Notamacropus eugenii: one gene and its partner. The protein of the gene in region 2 binds, or shares a complex with, the protein of the main gene of each other region. Links are inferred from orthologs where the notes say so. Each region holds a gene or a part of one and is shown on either strand. Other genes may lie near its edges.

Evidence for each region. The genes of interacting proteins can lie anywhere in the genome.
Region 1: the proteins of NMT1 (region 2) and HPCA are in contact, whole or in part, in a crystal structure (PDB 7OWM), measured with the Homo sapiens proteins. The link is inferred for Notamacropus eugenii from reciprocal best matches to the Homo sapiens genes NMT1 and HPCA. Residues at the interface, in NP_066565.1 of Homo sapiens: Tyr180, Val181, Glu182, Asp183, Asp184, Asp185, Met187, Phe188, Arg189, Phe190, Tyr192, Ile245, Asn246, Phe247, Thr282, Ala283, Gly284, Tyr296, His298, Ser300, Lys310, Phe311, Ser312, His313, Tyr401, Leu403, Ser405, Tyr420, Gly468, Ile469; in NP_002134.2 of Homo sapiens: Gly2, Lys3, Gln4, Asn5, Ser6, Lys7, Leu8, Arg9.

The regions. Positions count from the first base shown.
Region 1 is NC_092876.1:76,983,347-76,990,690, reverse strand, and holds the start of HPCA (neuron-specific calcium-binding protein hippocalcin), read left to right. Parts: upstream 1-4,276; 5' UTR 4,277-4,532; intron 4,533-5,073; 5' UTR 5,074-5,180; intron 5,181-7,344. UniProt on the Homo sapiens protein: Calcium-binding protein that may play a role in the regulation of voltage-dependent calcium channels. May also play a role in cyclic-nucleotide-mediated signaling through the regulation of adenylate and guanylate cyclases.
Region 2 is NC_092873.1:348,771,665-348,779,024, forward strand, and holds the start of NMT1 (glycylpeptide N-tetradecanoyltransferase 1), read right to left. Parts: upstream 3,053-7,360; 5' UTR 3,035-3,052; coding exon 2,898-3,034; intron 1-2,897.

The sequences.
Region 1 (7,344 bases), on a different chromosome or scaffold from region 2:
TTGTAGGACCTTGGATAAGTTAATCAACTTTTTGGGCTTTCAGTTTCCTTATCTGTAAAATGACTATGCTGGACATCCCTCATGCTCTTTCAGTTTGTTAAATTCTTACCTATCCTTTAAAGTCTTCCTCCAGGGCCACCTCTTCCAGGAAGCCATCTCTGACCCCATTCATGTGGTAACAGCTTTGGATGTAGAGCTACTCCATTTTAAGAATCACCTTCCCTCTTCAGCACTCAGTATCTCTCTAAGATGTTTATCATATATATTGTATGTGAGAACTATCTGTGTAGATGCCTTATTCCCCTATTAGACCCTGAACTCAATAGAGGCAGGAACCTGGGGCAGTGAATTGTATGTACAGTCTGGAGTCAGGAAGATTGATCTTCCTGAGTTCAAATCTCAGATACTTAGTAGCTGTGTGACCCTGGGCAAGTCACTTAACCCTATTTGCTTCAGTTCCTTCATCTGTAAAATGAGCTGAGAAGGAAATGGCAAATCACTCCAGGGTCTTCAAAGATAATGTCAAATGAGGTCATGAAGAGTCAGATTCTAATGAAAACAACTGAACAACAATCTCTCCCTGGATCCCTACCCTCTCTCCATTCCCAGTACAAGGTTCTGCATGCAGCAGGTGCTTAATTTAATTTTTATCGTATGAATGATTGCACAAACAGATGCACATTATTCCATTTTAAAGGTCCTTCCAGACAAGAAACTGGAGAGTGGACAAAATTCTGCAATCAGACTGGGAGGAATAGGATACAGAGGTTGGAAAGTACCCTAAGGGAGTTAAGAATGTTTCCAGTCATAGCTGAGAAACCTTGATTTGGAGTTAGGGGGCACAGGGTGAAATCTCATCCCATGACCCTTCTCTATAATGAGAGAAATGAACCAGATAGTCTTTAGGTATTTTTCCAGTGGGATAGCCTGTCACTCTTGGGCTACCTTTTCCTCATTCTATCCCTACCTATTTAATAGATGAATAAACTGAATCCGAGAGAGGGTATCTCCCCCAAGATTACCTTCCAGGTTGCCTGTAGCAGATGGGGTACAGCTTGCTAAGACGTGGTCTGTGAAGGACCCCAGTGATTGACCTCTCTGCTCCAGGTTTGGACTCCCCTGTCCTTCACAGCACAAGGCCCTGAAGCCCTGGGCTAATGAGTTTAGGCCAGGCCAGTGGATAGGTGGCCTCATTTCTCCTGGTGGGAAGTGGTAGGAATGGAAGAAAGAGACAGAATGGACCTCACCCTTGGGATATGACTGTTGCGCAAGCAGAGCAAAGAGCTATGGCCCTCTCGGAACTCTCGGACAATTCTGGGAAACAGGACACACCTCCAGGAGCAACTCTTCAAGTATAGTTATTATATACAAGGGGCTGAAGAGAGGGGTGTAGACAAAATGTGGCCCCTGAACACTCAGATGGGAGGAAGAAGAGATCAGGACAGAAAGATCCCAATGGTGCCTGAGCCCTGAATTGCTGTGCCACAGGAGGGAAGTACCTTCCCTCTCTGGGCTTCTATAAGTTTACTCTTCTATAAGAATGAGGACATTGGCATCCATGGTTCTCTTCTGCCTTTAAATCCCATGAACTTCTGATCCCATAAGTATTAAGAGATCAGGTTAGGAAAACTTGGGGGAATATATTGATTGAATAGCATGATGGAAGCAAAATCACAGAACGTCAGAGCTGGAAGAATTCCAAGCCAGGAGGGGAGAAATCTTAGAACAGTGAATGTTGGCACTAAAAGGAACCACAGGACATAGAGCAGGGGTGGGGAACCTGTGGCCTTGAGGCCACATGTGGCCCTCTGTGTCCTTAAGTGCAGTCCTTTGACTGAATCCAAATTTCACACAACAAAGGGTTTCCAGTTTGGATTCAGTCAAAGGGCTGTAGTTGAGGACACAGAGGGCTGCTGTATGTGGCCTCAAAGTCACAGGTTCCCCACCCCAATGGAGTTTGAGCTAGATGTGTCTAGGAAGATCTTAAAACACAGAAGGTAGACTGTCAGAGCAGTTGGTGGAGGGGTAGACTTAAGAGATTTTCGAATTTGATACTAATTTTTACATATGGGAAAACAAAGGCCTAGAGGTGGCAAATATCCCCACTGGACAGGTGGAGCAGGGAAGCCAGAGCACTCTAGGCCTGCAGGGATGGCACTGGTGACAGATAGAAGATGAGGCTTTGGGAATAGAAGAGTAAGGGATATGAGAGACACCCATCATGGGAGGAGAGAACCCCTTTTCCTGATATGCTGGTATATACCTTCTCTCTTCCCACCCCAGGCCTTAGACCCTTGTGGGGGATAGGGGTCCCAGTTCAGCTGAAGGACGGAGACCACTTCCGTGACTCACCCTTGAGCCTTTGCACAGCCAAACCCACCTGGCCCAGGAGATGGGTACTTCCCAAGGCCTTCATCTGGAGCTGACAAGCTGCAGAGGTTGTGGGGTGGGGCGGCAGAAGAATGAGATGACAGAGGGGAAGGGGGCCTCCCCTCCTTCCCTATGCCTCTGCCAGGACGCCGTGTGCAGGAGGCTGCTTTGGAACACACCCCCACACGAATGGCGTCTCTCACGCCTCCACCAGGGGGTTCCACGTGCCCTGGCACAGGGCTGTACAGAAACCGGGAGAAGCTGCTCACATTCCTTCAGGAGGTGCCGATTCCCTCCCCCAGCCATTCCCTCAGGGGACCTCTTGGCAGGCCCTGCCCCCTAGCCCATGATACCTGGTGCCTGATCTCTGAGAGTCACTGAGGTCCTGACCAGGAGAAATCAGCTTTGTCTTAGGGGGCAGGCTTGAGATTGGACCATGGGAGATGACTTTCTAATGAGGGAGGGGTGAGAAACACACTGGAACCCATAAGTCATTGACTAAGTCAGGAGCATAGTTTTAAAATTGGAAGGGACCTTAGAAGCTCCCTTCCCTTCCTCCCATTTTACAGATGAGGAAACTGAGATCACACAGTGACAGAGTCTAGATTTTAATCCAGTTCTCCTGACTTCTGATCCAGTGAGGAATCCTACTGCTTTAAAGGAATAAGGAAACTTTCCAGAGCAAGGTAGGGGTTGGGACTCTCAGGAGAGGGAATAATGGGAAAATAGGTCTTTTTCTCTGGACTCCCCGACACTTACCAGCTGGGTGATGTTGGACAACTCACTTAATTTCTGTCTGCCTCAGTTTCCTCAACTGTAAAATGGGAATAATAACTATATATACCTCCCAGAATTGTTATGAGGATCAAATGAGATAATATTTGTAAAGCACTTTAGTGCTGCTAGGTGATCCAGTGGATAGAGCCCCAGGCCTGGAGTCAGGAAGGCCTGGGTCCAACCCTCTTTGCCTCAGTTTCCTCATCTGTATAACAAGCTGGAGAAGGAAATGGCAACTCCCCCCCACCCCCAGTATCTTTGCCAAGAAAACTTCAAATGGGATCATGGAGAGTTGGACACAACTAAACAACAAGGAAGGGCACACAGTGCCTGGCACATAGTAGGTGTTCCTTTTCCAAAAGGAGGAGGTTATTAGAGGACCTCTCATCAGATCACAGCTGTAATAGTTTACATTTCTATAGTGCCTTGGGATGTTAAATCTATTTTATCTCAATTCATTAGGGTTTTCATGTACTCTGTGACCTTAGGTAAGTCATTCCCCTGCTCCAAACCTCAGTTTTCTCATCTGTGGAATGGTGATATTATTCACGTTACCAACATCAGAGGATCTTGGCACTTGGCAAATTTAAATCATCCTCACCACAACTCCCTGAAGCAGATAGGACTCAGGAGGCCCAGAGAAGGACAATGACTTGCCCAAGGTCAAACAGGTCAAAACCAACGTTTGAAACGAGGCGTCCCAGTTCCAAATCCTGAGACCTTTCTACTGTAAATTCAGGCCAAAAAAGAGAAAGTGACAGGCCCAGGGTGAGTCTGGGAATAAGTATCCTAGGCTAGACTTGAACCAGATCTTCTATCTTTAGGTTCCACCACCGTTCGAGTTCTATGGGCTCTACCTGGAATCCAGGTAGATGCTGCCCTGCTTGGAGCCAGGGGAAAGGAAGGGAAGTCTTCTCCCCTGCCATTGCCTAAGTCCATCCTCTCTACAACCAGGAGGCGGAGCAGGGTACAGGATGGGGGCCAAGGTCATGGAGCTCCCTCCCTCTCGGTGTGGCCCAGAGACCCTCAGACCTCAGCTGAGCCGCTACTTAATCCGCGTGTCCTCCCCGCCCCTCCACCCCGCAAGCCTCCCGCAGCAGCTCCTGCTTTGCGCCGGCGCGTGGGTGTGTGGGGAGGGGGCGGTTCCCGTCCTTACTTGCCCTAGTAACCTGTCTCCCCCCGCATCCCCCCGGCGCCCCTCTCCCTGCCTTGCAGTCTCTGGAGGGGTGCGCCTTTGGAGACCCCCAGGCGAGGGCTTCCAGGAGGGGTGTCCCGGGGGCGGGGCAGGGGAGGGGGCGTGGCTGCGGGTCGAGTCGCCCCACGAGGCGGGAGTGTGAGTGGGGAGGGGGTTCTCCTGGATCCCCTGGCTGCGCCTACCTCACCAGGTACCCAGCAGCGGGCCCCCAGCCCTTCTGCCTTGCTCCACTCAGCTCAGGGGGATCCGGGCCTAGGGAGGGGTATCTGGGGGCGGGAGCGGGGCGGTGCACTGGGAGGCGCCTCCAGCCTCCTCGGAGGGATGTAAGGTGCCTCGTGGGGCAGAGACCCGGGCTCCGGAGCAGGTGGGGAGGAGGGGAGAAGCACCAGGACCCTTCCCCCACCTTTACGGGGGCCCCCCCATTTCTGAGAGCTTGGGGTCTGAGAACTGGAGGGGAGGGGTGTGAGGAAAGAGCAGGGACACCGATACTACTTTGGGGAGAGGGATCTGGGTCCGGCTTGGTGCTGACCACCCTTTCCCAAATGAGAGGGTCGTGAGCGAGGCGAGGTCCACACCCCCGCAATTAGCGTCCGTTCGGGCCGGGGGCGTTAGGGAGTCCCTGGGGAGAGGGAGGGGCTCCAAGGCTGAGCCTGGGGAGGAGGGAGGTGGTAGGACTGCCTGAGGGGCGTCTCCCTCCCGCCTTCCAGCACCCCCTTCCTCCTGCCTTCCAGCATCCCCCTCCTCCCGGGCCTCCCCCCGCCCCTCCGGCCGCCCTCAGCCGCCTCCCCCGTTGCAGCGCCTCGGCTTCCCTGCGTAGTCAGTGTCTTCTTGCAGAGGGGTGAGTGGGGGCTGCGCTCCAGGGAGGGGCTGGGGGGGCTCTAGAAGGTGGGGGAGGATGCCCAGGGGAGAGGAATGGGGGAACTACTCCTGGGACCCCCGCCCCCTCTTCTCTAGAAGCCGGATTCGCTGCTTGGCCCGGGGATCCCCATTTCTCCACTGCCTCCTCTGCCTGGGGAACTGGAGCAGGAGCCCCACTGCAAATACTGGGGCGGGGGTATCCAGCGAGAGCGGGGTAATATGGGTAGGAGCATCCCAGAGCAAGGACGGGAATCCTGGGGCTGGGAGGGTGTCCCAGAACCGAGGTGGAACAATGTGGGTATTATCGGCAGTTACGGTAGGGATGCAGAATCAGGGGCTTTGGGGTTTTGAGGGCGAACCCGAGAGGTAGGAATGTGGGACGATGGAATGGGGCCAGGGAAGGGAGAGGAACGGATGGACCAGGAGCCTCCGGCAGACCCAGGGAAACTTGGGTTCAGGGTTTGGAGCCCCAGAATGGTCTATGGCAGCTCTTTCAGGCCAGACTGGGAGTTCTGGAGATGGGTTTCCAGTTGTGTGAGGACTGGGTGTGGGCAGAGGAGGGGAGCTCTGGCACTTTTCTGGAGAGGGGAAACCGGGATGCTTTTCTCCTTCTTGAGGGGTGGAGGAAGGATCTTTGGGACTACTACCTCTAGCCCCTGTTTTTTGGTCCCCTTTTGGCTTTGAGGAGGGGGGTGGGGTTGAAGTCATTTTGGAAGGCTGCAGAAAGGAGAAGGTGCTGTCCTGGTATGCCACCCTCCCTCCTGCCAGTGATCTAAGGCCTGAGAAGGCAGACCTTGCCCTTTCCTTGCTGCTTTCTAGAGCCCCTTTATGCTGGAGCCAAGTCCTCTCCATACTGCAGGCCTGGCTTTTTGGATAGCAGAAAAGCTAATGAATGGGGCCTACTTCCCTAACTGACTTCCCCCCTTCCTCCCCCCACCCCGCACAGATGGGGGGCATATCACTGGCCTGAGCCCCAGCCCAAAGCCTCAAGAGTTGGGCAGGTAGGTGGCATATCAGGGTTCTTAGGACAGGGAGGACCTATCCAAGAGGGACGGGAATACATATGCAGGCCATCTGAATATATCAACACATTGCTGGACATGGGTGCAGATGCATGCATATGTAGATAACATGCATGGTCACAGGTTTATGCACACACATGCACTCATGTTTCTGCATGCCTACATTTATGTACAAGAACACAAAACCATGCATTTTGCAGGCATATATCACTCCATGTGCATATGCAAATATATTATTCCATGTGTATGCACAAACATGTCCAGTACAATTACATGCACACACAAATCTGTACATGAACACATAGAGTAACATGGACTCACTGAGACTGCTGCCCTTTCTTTCTCTGCCTCTGTCTCTGTCTCTCACATACAAACACACACTCACACACCCAGCTTGGTCAGCCATTTCCAGGATGCCCTTCTCCCCTTCTGTTCCCTCTCTTCTCTTTTTTCCTATGAAGGAGGGCTCTTCCAGACCTTATGGGGGGCAGGTAGTCAGGGGGCAACAGGAGGAGAATGACAAAGGGCTGCTGCCCTATCTTCTATAACGTTCCTAGTGTACAAAGGGGTACAGGAGGGGTGTAATGGCCAGTGTCTAGGCGTATGATTACATATACACGACTGTGTGTCAACTTTCTGAAGAGTGGTAGAGGGGGCAGAAAAGAAAGCCCTGGCCTGGAACTCAAGAGGCCTGGGTATCAGTCATAGCCCACGGATTTGCTGTGTGACCTCGGACCAGTCACTTCCCCTCCAGTTTCTTCATCTGTAAAAGAACAAGGTAGAGTTCCATGGTTGGCACTGTCCATCACTCTCACCTGAGAATTTTACAGTATCGCGTCATGAGTTATGTGATAGCAGTCTTATGTGTGCTTGGGTACAAGTGAGGCCATGCAAAGAGCAGAGGGAAATAGCAGGATGAGGTAGGGTGAGCAAGAATTAGCTGGGAGGCTGAAATGTCTAGGTCCATCCTGTTCTCACCGAAGAATTTCCCCTCTGAGCCTGTTCTTGGGGGAAGTATAAGCATCTCAGGTCAGGAGGGTGATGGGGTCTGAAAGAAAGCAGGCTCTCAGTCCTCTCCAACCTTCCTCTGGTTGTTTTTCCTTTCCTGGTCCCCCCCATCTT
Region 2 (7,360 bases):
TTTGTATCACTACTTCTTTGGAAGCTTTACATTAAAAACAAACAACAACAACAAAAAAATACCACCACTATAAAGCATACAGATGAGCAAAGGCTTCTGCAGAGCCTTGTCATTTAAAAATAATAGAATTTTTGTAAAGAATCTTGGAAATTATCTAGTCCAAGACACTCATCTGTCCAGGAAAAGTCATCAAGAAAAATAAAAATATGAATTTTATTTACTCACATACCTAAATACCCTTCTAAGAAGAAATAAAATACTAGAAAATCAGAAGAAAAAAATTTGCACACAGGTTCATTTTTCTACAGCATTCACCCAGAATGCTTATGTTCTATTGATTTATAAAGAAGGCAAAATTACTGAGAGATCAAGACTTAAGTCATTATCTCACAATCTACTGGGAAAATCACATGAGAACGTCTATAAAAGCATTTAATCATGTAATGTTTTTAAAAATTAAAAACGATAAAATTAATAACGATAACTTCAAAGACATAAAGTTTGTCTAATTGAATTTCAAAGTCTGTTACAATTCACTCAGTGAATGATTTATAACTCATAAGTGCCATGATCCACACCAATATAAAAGCCTAAGAAAATTTCAGGAATACTTTTCCTACCATTAATTTTCACTGGGTACTCTGTAGAAGGTTTCTACTCTGAATATGAAGACCATGAAATTATTTTGGCCCTTTGCAAATGCACAAAATTTGTAACATCAATCTTTGGAGAAAGAAAAAAAAGGTAGTGGAAGTATAATGTGATGTTTTTCTCACTCTGTGCAAAAGGGACTGAAAAGAGTAGGGCAGGACTGAGTCTCTCTGGCGACACCAAAAGTAAAGAACTTATCTCAGGTAAGAGCTGCAGGCACATTTTTAAAGTCTAAGGATCAGAACTAGTGCTTCCCCTCTATGATGCAGCTTTCATTTTTCATTTATTCACATTTCTACAAGAGTGATATTAGAAGTTCATTTGTGCCAACAGAACAAAACCAAGTACTGAACTTGCCTTTTTAAAAAAGCTGCCACTTTGTTATACCATAAATAACAACAAAAAAGTTTTGAGAAAAGATTTTGCAAAAGGATTTTAGAAAAAAAGATTACAGAAAACAAATCTAGCCTTAGTCCTACAGACAGATGATTAAGAGGAGAATGTACTCATAGCCACTGTTCGACAAGGAAAGTTAAAATAAACTATCCAAAGATAAAAGAAAAAGATTGGTTCTCTCACTCCAAAAATGACTTTCACTTTCACCAATTCTCATATCTGACCTTAACCTTTCCCTGGAACAACTGCAACTTCCTTCCTGTTCTGCTTTTTCCTTTTAAACATTTCCATTCATTTGCCAAAATGCAAGCTTTTATAACAATGTATCTTCTATGAAAAACTCGCTGCAACATGATAAAACCAAAACTCTGACAACATGACTTTTTCTCACTTTCTAGAGGATTCTTGCGGCTGGGCCAGGTCCAATACAAGAAATTATCAGCATGGCTACTATGACCAAACTCACACCAACTTATCATGATATCACATGCCACCATGCTTTTTGGTAAAGAACTTAAACTTTGAAATAGTCTGAAAATGAAAAACGAATGGCAGGGTATAGCTTATTAGTAATGGGTTGGCTGTTCTAAGGCAAAAATCTGACCCATTTAAAAAAAACTCTTTCATACTCCAATGCCCAAATCAATTTCCTTTTTTTTTGGATAGTACTGTATAAAACTATCGTTTTAAGCCTGGAGAAGGAAGTTTAATAATCAGTACTCTCCTCAAAATGTTGAACAAAGGATGCAGTATTAGACTCAGAGCCATTGGATATAAAAAGCACAACTCTATGATATCTCCTTGAATTTTGTGGGAGAGGGTACTTGGATGGTTTTGTTTCTGTCTGGACTCGTGGTTTTATCAATTCAATTCATCAAGCACGTATTAAGCCTAGGTTGTGTGCCAGGCACAGTAAATACAAAGACAAAAACCACACAGTCCTGGCTCTCAAGAATCTTCCTTTATCTGGGAACTCCCAGTATTGAAATTCCTGATGCAGATACAAATCAGCAAGTCATCCATAACTTATAAATCTTGACGAGTCGCCTAGGGCACTAAATGACTTTCTTATTCTCATAAGGCTAGATTTTCGAGGTAGGACTAGTGCCCAGGTTAATACCAATCTGGGAGGCCAGTCCTCTATCTACTATGTCTGGCTGCCTCTAACTTGGACAGATAACGGTAAAATATTCTAGTACACCTAATTATAGATGCTCATGAATCTTACGGACTCTTTGGCACAAGGGGCATCATCTTCTAACTACCACCTAGGGTTTATAAGGCCCTTCAGGACTGAAGATCCTTTGGCGGTAAAGAGCAATAACATGAGGATAGAAAATGTTATTTTATAACGTAATTATGGTCTGTAAAGCCTGCTGGGCTTCTTCGCAGGTAAAAGCACTACACTAAAGAGAACTATTTATTGCTACTTTATTGAGAAGAGGTTATCCTCTGCACCGGGTATCTCTCTCTCTCTCTCTCTCTCTGCAGCTTTCCGTCTTTGGAGGACCCTGTGATGGGGATCCAAAATGCTGTGCCACAAAAATTAAAAACAAAAAACACCCCTCCCTCAGTTGGGCCTGTAGCACGCTGAAGTACTACTGTAACAGAGAACTTTTATATAATAGGAGTATTGAATATCTCAGGCCCTGATTGCACAGTCTCCACCCCGGTAATTGACAAAGAAGGTAGCCAATCACCAGTCAGGATCCCACAGCCTTAGCAAATGAGAATACGAAGGTGGGGTTAGGCTGGGCTCCGGGATGTTCCCCATAACCCCCCTTCCCCCCTCCCCGAGAACCAGGTTGCGAAGAGACGGATTGGGAAGTGGGCTCGGAGGAACTCGTTACCCCCGGTTGTAGCTGTTCTCCTCCTCGTTCTCGCAGTCGCTGCAGTGCTCATGGCCGTTCCCGTTCCCTTCCATCAGCTGCGGCGCCGGAGGCGGCGGCGGCGGCTGCTTCACTGCTGTCTCACTCTCATCCGCCATCTTGAGTTGGGAGAGCCGGGCTCCGCGCCCCGCAACATGAGGCACCGCTATTGGACGAGGAGGAACCGGCGATGTTTTCTGGGCTTTGTAGTCTTTACGGAAGGTAACGAACGGGTAGAAGGGGAGGGCTCATTTTCTGAAAACCGATCAGAACGGACTACGTTACCCAGAAATCACGAGGTCAGGGGGAGGATCGCTGCTAACAGTAAAGTCTTCTTGGAGGAGGGACAGTCCCCGGAGGTCTTCGGGATTCGAGGAAAGAGGGGCCTTAAAGGTGGGGGAGGGTAGACACTTCCCTAAGAGTGGAATGCTGGGAGTTGTAGTTCTCAGCCTACCTAGGGTACCCCACATGGACTTTTCCAAGACCTGAGGTTTGACTTTAACCTATCCTTTTCCAACCCAAGGTCCTAAGCGATCAGTTTATTTGCTACCGTTAATAACCGTTACCGTTCTGGGGTAAGTGAGAGAGGCCCGAGGGTGCGGACAGGAGGGGAATTCTCCAAGGCTGGCGTGTTTCTTAGAGGAAGTGTTTGGGGGGAGAGGACCAACTGTGTGGGGGATGGAGGGGAATGGAAGAGAGGTTCTTTTAGCCCAGAACTAAAAGCTCGGATGGACCTGTATCCAAAAGGTGAGGGCTAATCTATCCCTCTTCCCCCCCACTCCACTTGGTCCCTGAACATAGTGGAGCAGATTAAATCCCGACGCCTACTAAACCCATCAATGTACGATAGGAGCAGCAGCTGTTTTACGGAGGGTGAGCTGGTTTCCCCTTCATAGTAGTTGGAGAGGTTCTTACATTGGTTATGATCGGTTTGGCTTCTTTGCGTCTTGAGGCTTGGGAGTTGGGTTAGGAGATTTAGCCCAATCACTGAATCAGTAAGCATTTATTAACAGCCCTTTGTGTGCTAGGCACTGTGCTAAGCGCTGGGGATACAAAGAAAGGTAAAAGACAGATCCTGCCCTCCAGAAGCTCACCAGCTAATGGACAAACTGCTAACAATTATGAACAAGCAAGCTGTACACAAAATGAATAGGAAATAATCCACAGAGGGAAGGCACACTGCTGTGTGAGGTCACCTTTCTGACCTAGCCTGACCATTGCCAGGTGAAGGTGAAGTAGCCAGCATTTTATCTGAATTGTATCCTTTTTAGTCTTAAGAACAGTTTTTATTGCATTTGAAATAATTTTTCTTTTATGTGGAGCAATGGATAGAGCATTGAGCCTGGAGTTAGGATTATTGTGTTCAAATCCAGCCTCAAACACTTGCTAGCTGTATAACCCTGGACAAGTCACTTAACCTTAGTTTCCTCACCTACTTTCCATCCTATTAACAGTCTCCTTACAACTCATCGAAGTGGTGGAGAAGGCTGGGTGAAGGGACCTGGGACCAAAGGCAGAGACATCACACTTAGATGAGGACAATGGCTAAGGAGCCTACCCCTTTGGCACTGAGTGACTGCCTAGCTCAGGGGTAGGGAACCTTCAACCTCGAGGCTGCATGTGACCCTCTAGGCAGACCCACAAGTGAGGCCCTTTGGCTGAATCCAAACTTCACAGAATAAATTCCCTTAATAAAAGGATTTGTTCTGTAAAATTTAACTGCAGAGAGCTCATAGTCAATAAAGCATGATCCTGGGCAAGTCACTTAACCTTCATCTCACTGCAAAATGGGCATATAATAGCACCTATCTCCCAGGATTATTGTGAGGATCAAATGAGATAACTGTAGAGTGTTCTGCATAGTGCCCTTCATCTAATAAGTGCTATATAAATGTCAACTGTTGTTGAATGCAGCTAGCTAAGAACTGACCTTGCCAGATCCAAAGCTACCAGTTGCCTGAGGGAGACCTAAACCAGCTAAAAGAGGACCATCCAAACTAGTTTAAAAAAAAAAAAAAGAAAGAAAAGAGGACCAGCTGTTACCATTCCAAACTCCCTAGGCTTTGCTATGGACTATAAAAAACAACTTAACTGCTTGTGGAGGCTGTGGCTCCCTTGATGTTCCCACCCTATTGAAATGTATTTAAACCCTGCCCCTTTTGGGCACTCCAGGACTTTGTTGTCTTCTGGTGTCCCCCCAATTGCAATTCCTTTGCCTCTATTAAAAAATCTTTTTTTTTGCCACGTTGGTAGCCTTCTTTATTTCAGGTGGACGTATCTAACACCATCATCTTCGTTATTAAATATTTATTAGATGCCTACCATGGAAAGAGAAAGACAGTCCTTGCCTCCCCTCAGAGAACTCACAATTTAATTGAGGAAGACAACGCTTAAAAGGAAGCTGAAGAGAATGGGGGGAGGGGGCAGTTCTTGGCTCTACTCTGCAAACAGTGGAACTGAGGCTTGTGATGAGGTGGAGTACCAAAGCTAATGGAATTTTATGGGATAATGAAGTTTTCCCAATAATAAAGTTATTGTTGTTGTGTTCTTTGTTTTCGAAGAGGGTCATGACTTGGAGGGGTGAGGAATGATGACATGACTTGCAGTTGACTTTGATTTGAGTAACACAACCTGTGAGTAGACTGAGCTTCTTGAATGGAGACCCAGCCAGTTGGGTAACTCAGTTCACCCCCTCCCTCTTCCTCTTTCTCTCCTTCTCCCTCTCTGTCTTCCTCTCTATCTCCCTTTCCCTCTCCCTCTCCCTCTTTCCCTCTCTCCTTCTCCCTCTCCTTCTTCCCTCTCCCTCTCCTCCTTCTCTCTCTTCTCCAAAGGAAGGTAAATTTCAATAATGGAATATCTGGGACATGGTGGAAAAGTCTGAGAAGTCCCAAAGTAGTGCATCCTACTTTGAAAGAAATGAGGGGATGTTCTGAGGTGAATGAACTTCTTGGCATCTTCTGGAAAGAGGAAGGATATCGAATCTTTGTAGTATTGGAATTGTGAATTGTCTTGGCCACATGTGTACCCTACACATGTTTTTCATAAGTCTGGTGTACTCTTCTTCCTGGAGGGACTGTGTGTTCATGAGACTGTGCCTCTGATAATCGGGAGAAATGCTTTGTAACTCCTGACCTTGCTATGTCATATGAGTTCTTTGCTAAAAAACTGAATCTACTAATGAGTAAAGGGAAGTCCACCAGCAAGAGCTCATGTTCTAGTATTTAGGAAAATAGTCATCCATAGGGTTGTCCATAGGACTCAGGGATAGTAACAACCACCCTCTAGAGACCCAACCTGTTGCTGGTGGTGTGTCATGTCCTGTTTGGAATGTTATGCTATTAACATGTATTCTGAGCTCTGGAAGTTCACAGCATGTCCTGAATTTATTTTTAATTAAAATAAACTTTTATTTTTTTTTCTATTCCAGGACAGCTTTCTTTTAACTCATTTTAAAATTGATCCTTTTGATATCTTCAGAATTATTTAAAAACTTTTTAGATCATAATCTGTCTGATCTTCCTACCCTTCTGGAAGTCACCTTCTAGATGGTCATAATAGGGTGAGACTGAGGCTCTCTTACTACAGGAGAATATTGTCAGTTCTCGTCTTCAGTCCTACTCTCATTCTCTTCTCTTATATCCCTAAACTCAGCAGTATTCACATTTATCAGATCACTGTTATTAGACTCAGTGTCACATTCAGATTTAATGACTTCCATGGTGCTGTTGACCTCATTCTTAGTAACACTTTCCTTCCATTGAATATTAGTTTTTTCACTGTTTTTCTTGACTTGTAGACTTCATGCTTTAAAAAAAAATCTTCATATTCTCTTTTGTCTTGCAGAAAAGTCTTGTCTTTGTGCTTTATGGTTCTTTTGTGCTCTGATGTGAAAGAATTAGGTTAAGATAAGTTAATTTTTCTTTTATATTATTTTCTCTTAGATTTTCTGTCTTGTTCTCTATCCCAGCTTTTTCTTCTATGTTTATATGATTTTCAGTTTTGGCTTTTTGATCTGCTTCAGTCTTGTTTATAAGATTTAACTTTAGGCTCAACTAGGAGATCTGAACATTCTAGTTTTGAAGCAGTCCTATTTGTTTTTTTTCTTCTGAACTTCCTTCTGTTTTCTTCTGTGCATTTTCTTTTAAATGAATGGTTGTTGATACAAACAGAATCCCCCATCACCTCAGGTCAAGTGGTAGATTGCCTACAAGAGACTTCTGACCTGTCAGCTACTTTGTCATAGGTGAGCCAGACCTATGATGGAGATTGGTGATGACTTTGGAGATTCCATCTTCTGTGCGATGAACCTGATGCTTCTTGTGTTGTTCCTGGTCATTATGAATGTCATTTGCAAGAAGATCTGCTATGACCTGGCCCTGGTAATACTATCACTGGATGAATTTTTTACTTAAAAAACACCTGTATTGTTTATGTTTTTATGATTT